2 linked regions of the Oryza sativa Japonica Group genome follow. The protein of the gene in region 1 interacts with the protein of each later gene in a pairwise test. Links are inferred from orthologs where the notes say so. Each region holds a gene or a part of one and is shown in the gene's direction. Other genes may lie near its edges.

Region 1 (2,882 bases):
ATACTTAATTAATCATGCGCTAATGGCTCACCTCGTTTTACGTATCTTCCCAATCTTCTCAATCTCCTCTCCCTCAAATACAGCCTTAGTGTTCAGCATTTATGCTCGAACAACAACAACTAAGCTAATCTGAATTCAAAAAAGAACTAAACTAATCAGAGAGGGTAAATGGTTGGATTACCAAAATCTAAATCTTTTATCAGAATTAAAAGTTACCATCGAATCGATGGAGATCGGTCTGACCGGAGTTGATGCGTAGGTCTGACTGGACAGATACCTCCGGGCTGATCGCCCGTTGCGCAGCCGTCACCTGTTGCTGCTGCAGTCGGTCTGAATGAGCAGTAGACGCCACTCTAACCGCCGCACCCGAGCAAAACACAAATCGAAGACTCTTGAAAGTAGATTAATCTTTATTGCTTCTATGCGTATTTACAAAGTGCAAGTGAAAAATAGGGGCTAGGGCTCATGAATAATGTTGCTTAACATAAAGTGTTTGAACGATTTATAGCTTTGGTCAGATCTGTACGTTGAAGACTTGAAGTCGTAGTTCCTCATCGTTTCACTTATACTTATACTTATATACTTATGTTTACAAACTAAAATTTAATTTTTTTAAATTTTAGTTTTGAACTTGATTTTAAGGTTTTTTTTCATGATTTATTTTGCAACATTTTCTTTTATATCGCTTAGGAGTTTGAACTATAAATTAATTTTTGTTTGCTAACAAACAGTAGAAATAAACATCAGGATAAGCGGAATGATGGGATCGATAGTATCAAAATGAGAAATAGTTGCAACGTGTCTTAAATCTTCCTATCTTCAGCTAGCCTACAGAACTCAATTCAATTTCTTATTAAATATACTATGAAGAGATCATAAGCTGAACCTATTGCTGCTACATCTGAATTTCAATTTCAATTTAAATGCTGCAAATATTGTGAAACCTGAAGATTCCGAAGCAGATTGGATTTATCTAGCGCATGCTCGCTCGATTACTTCATAGCTCAAAATTTTATAGATGGCGATGGGACCGATCATCAATCCCCATGGTGAATTCACGTATTAGGGGATGAAGATGGTTAATATCTACCATCTAAGAAAAATCTAATGGTCCAAAACACATCACTATCGGGGATGGCCGGCAGGGAGGCCGCTCCACTCCCACCCTAAGTCCCTATCCCTCGCGGTGACCCGCATGCATTGTAGCTAGGGACCAATTATAGACTTTATTAGTCGTTTTGGCTATAAAATTGAAGCCCAATAACCAGATATGTATAGCTTCTAACCCTAGTCAACGTCAACCCTCCCCTTCCCCACATTTCTCCAATCTCCACCTCCACCGCGCCGCCGCCGCCGCTCCAGAGTCCAACGCGCGCGCCGCCGGCCGCCGCCTCCCCTTGCGCCGTCGCGCGGGCTCGGTCCCGTCCCCAACCGTCGACGAGCGCGCGCCGCCGGCCGCCGCCTCCCCTCGCGCAGTCGCGCGGGCGCGCTCCCGTCCCCACGAAACCTTATCTCTCTCTCTCTCTCTCTCTCCCACGAACGCGACGACTTCGATCTCAACCCCACCCCATGGCTAGCGACGAGCTCCCCGTGGCGGCAGCGGCAACCGAGGAGGAGGACCTCGTGGAGATCCTCGACGAGGGGTCAGGCCGGCTCGACATCGCACGGTACGTGGACCACGTCCGCGACCTGGCGGCGGGCGCCATCGCCACGTTCGAGGGCACCACCCGCGACAGCTTCGAGGGGAGGCGGGTGGTGGAGCTCCGGTACGAGGCGTACGGGGCCATGGCGCGGCGCCGGCTCGCGGCCATCCTCCGGGAGGCCCGCGCCGCCCACTCGCTGCGGCGGCTCGCCGTGGCGCACCGCCTCGGGACGGTCCCCGCCGGCGAGGCGAGCGTGTTCGTGGCGGCGTCCGCGGTGCACCGCGCCGACGCGATGGAGGCGTGCCGCTACGTCATCGACGAGGTCAAAGCGTCCGTGCCCATCTGGAAGAAGGAGGTGTACGACGACGGCGAGGTCTGGAAGGAGAACCGCGAGTTCCTCGACCGCACCACCACCGACGGCACCACCGCGTCGTCGCCGGCGCCGGCGACGCGGCCGGCGAAGGGCGGCGGTTGCTGCGGCCGCAAGGTGAGAGTCAACGAGAGCTGATGCCAACCGCCGGATCGCAATCGGACGGACGTGGTTTTTTTTATTTTTTTATTTTAAAGAGAAGAGAAGGAACTACTTGTATCATGTGATTGTGTAACCGGAAATTAAATTCCGTGAGAAAATAATGAAACACGCAATGTCTAAATTTAAATTTCAGAAGCAAATTCCACCAAACGTCATAATTGTACCATCAACTTTGCCAACTGAGCACAACAAATCAATGGTTGCGTAGTTTATCTGCCTTTATTTTTGTTTTTCCTAACGAAGAAGCAGAGTAGCTGTCGCATTCGCACGGGAGTCACAAAGATGATCACAAATAGTAGTGGCTATTAATTGCTTCGTTTGATAGATTTGACAAATTTTGCGATATTCACATATGACTCATGTAAATTTTGCTACTAATGACAGTTTAATAGTAGTGACATAACTTTGTGGTATTTCACATTCTTTGCTGAGACAAGGCCACGTGATTGCCCAAGATTCAGTTGATACTTTGTGCAAGCCATCATTGCTGCATGAATAACCCTCTTTTTAACACGAGAAAATTGCAAAAAACACACCAGATATCACCTTGAGTTTGAGATTCCTCATATACGACTATTGTTGCAAATACTTCCTCCTAATTCTGACATTTCTCTCCAATTAGCATTATTAACGTGCTTTTTTTCCAGTTTCAGTGTTGTACAGTAGGAATTAGCGTATTTGTTGATAAACATGTCAATAAACACATT
Region 2 (2,636 bases), about 19 Mb from region 1:
GTGTGCCTTTGGAGCGTGCTCGACCTCCGCGCTCACTAGTGCGACGCTGAGGTTGTAGGTTGCGGGAGGGGGATATGGGATAAAGAAGAGAGAAGATGTTTCACTGACACGTGCATCTTATGTGAGTTTTTATTTTTGCCTCTGGCATGACGTCAGCTGAAACCATCATAAATACACTTTTGGGGGCTATGCTTGCACCAGTTTTGAAAGATAGGTATGTGTTATACCCATTTTGTGGTCTAAGGATATCAACTCTGGACTTTTGCACTAGCAAGAACTCCCTCCGTCCCATAATATAAGGGATTTTGAGTTTTTGTTTGTATTGTTTGACCACTCGTCTTATTAAAAAAATTTGCGCAAATATAAAAAAACAAAAAGTTGTGCTTAAAGTACTTTGGATAATAAAGTAAGTTAAAAAAAATAAATAATAATTCAAAATTTTTTTAAATAAGACTAGTGGTCAAATAGTACAAGTAAAAACTCAAAATCCCTTTCATTATGGATGGAGGGAGTAGCAACTACCGATCGAAGTTACCGGCAAATATGGTCCGAAATTATCACTCTTACAGGCCAAATTTATCAGCAACTACGAACGGAGTACGGAGATTGTCAATGCCAATGGGCAAAAATTTATGAGCTACCACGGGATAAAATTACCAGCAGGTACGGGCCAAAATCACAAGCAGCCATTAAAGTGTAATTAATGGGCTTCTTTTCGATGGCTCTTGTTGGGCTTAATTAATGTTTGCGGAAATTGGGCTCTGTTTAATTTGTGGTGGGCCGATGTCAAAGGAGCTCAGGAGCAGGTTTGAAATGAAATGTGAAGCATCTTTGTTTCTTACTAAAGTACGAAGTGAAAAATGCTGTGCAAACTGAAATGAAATTTGAATGTGAAGCGTCTTATAAATACTACTCCCTATGTCCTATGATATAAGGAATTTTGAGCTCTGTCCCATGATATAAGGAATTTTGAGTTCTTGCTTTACACTGTTTGACCACTCGTCTTGTTCAAAAAAATTTTAGATTTATTATTTATTTTTTTTGACTTACTTTATTATCTAAAGTATTTTAAGCACAAATTTTCGTTTTTTATATTTGCACAAATTTTTTGAATAAGATAAGTGGTCAAACAATGTAAATAAAAACTCAAAATCTCTAATATTATGGGATGGAGGGAGTAGTATAAACAAAAATGTTGTGCAAAATTGAAGAAAAACCAAAAAAAATATGCAATTCTTTTTTCAAAAAAACGTGGTCGGCAGGATTCGAACCTGCGCGGGCAAAGCCCACATGATTTCTAGTCATGCCCGATAACCACTCCGGCACGACCACGCTTGCTGTTCATCCTTCTTCTCAAAGAATCTCATATCCCCGCAGTTTCACCGATAAATTTCTCGCAATCCCATTGACCGCAGCAGCATCTGCAGCAGCGGAGCAGATCGGCATCCGCCGCTTCCTCCTCCTCCGGCGATGGCGCTGGATCCCAAAGCCAATCACGCTGCCGCTGCTGCTGCTTCCGCCGACAACCCCACGGCGGCGGCGGCGAAGGCGAAGGTGAAGGTGAAGGTGCTCTTCTTCGCCCGCGCGCGGGACCTGACGGGCGTGACGGAGGCCCCGGTGGAGGTGCCGGCAGGGAGCACGGCGGGAGACTGCCTCGCCCGGGTGCTGGCCGCCTTCCCCAGGCTGGAGGAGATCCGGCGATCCATGGTGCTCGCGCTCAACGAGGAGTACGCGCCCGAGGACGCCGCCGTCGGGGACGGCGACGAGCTCGCCATCATCCCGCCCATCAGCGGCGGCTGACAATCTTTCCACTTCTCCACCACCCTCCCCCCAATTCGAAGACACGGGGGCGCAAAGAGAGAAGAAACCACCGGTTCTTTCTTTTGCTTTCCTCTTCTTTCTACTTGTTTCCTGATACAATTTCAATCATACAATATACGCAAGTTTGAGTAATAAGCATCGCCTGTTTTCGCGATGATAATTGTTACTTGGCATCGTTGTCCTTCAATCATGTTGATGAATCTTGAATCACATTTCGATTTGAAGTGATATATGTGTGTGCTTCTTGTCTCTTGTGTGGACTTGTCTAATGACTAAAGCGGTGGTAAAGACAATTGAGATGAAATCATTGTCATGAAACAAAATCGATTTAAACTTCAGTGCATGATTGATCAGTGGGTTACTGATAATAATAAAGCTAAAGTTGGAAAATACTCCAAAAGTTGGAAGCAAATGGTGCAGATAAATCATGTGATTTTCGGTTGGGTTCTTGTGTTGTGCCTCATGGCGTGACTTGTGGACGAGTTAAGGGAGGTCAGTGGTAAAATTAAAATGATCCTTAGGCAACTAAAAGAGCAAAATTATGTGGATTGTGGATGGTCCAAATTGATCAACTGGCAGAAGTAGTGGAGGAATAAATCATATTTCCTCTCCGCTGGTTTCTTGTTAGCCACAGGAGAGCAGTGGAGGGAAGAGCTCCTTTTCATCCTGCCAAAACAATCTCAGCAAAATCAGTCCACGCGTTGTGTAGACCAATTCCTTTTTCTTATTGGGTGTGTTGTTGCACTGTTTGAGTGATAGATCAATTCCTGGTACTCCCCCCGTCCGAGAAGTTTTAGAGTTGGACACGGTTATTA

The links. The genes of interacting proteins can lie anywhere in the genome.
Region 2: the proteins of molybdopterin synthase catalytic subunit (region 1) and molybdopterin synthase sulfur carrier subunit interact in a protein complementation assay, tested with the Arabidopsis thaliana proteins (2 studies listed by BioGRID). The link is inferred for Oryza sativa Japonica Group from reciprocal best matches to the Arabidopsis thaliana genes AT2G43760 and CNX7.

The regions. Positions count from the first base shown.
Region 1 is NC_089036.1:2,166,360-2,169,241, forward strand, and holds molybdopterin synthase catalytic subunit, read left to right. Parts: upstream 1-1,351; 5' UTR 1,352-1,569; coding exon 1,570-2,151; 3' UTR 2,152-2,382; downstream 2,383-2,882. UniProt on the Arabidopsis thaliana protein: Catalytic subunit of the molybdopterin synthase complex, a complex that catalyzes the conversion of precursor Z into molybdopterin.
Region 2 is NC_089036.1:21,642,604-21,645,239, forward strand, and holds molybdopterin synthase sulfur carrier subunit, read left to right. Parts: upstream 1-1,419; 5' UTR 1,420-1,470; coding exon 1,471-1,800; 3' UTR 1,801-2,071; downstream 2,072-2,636.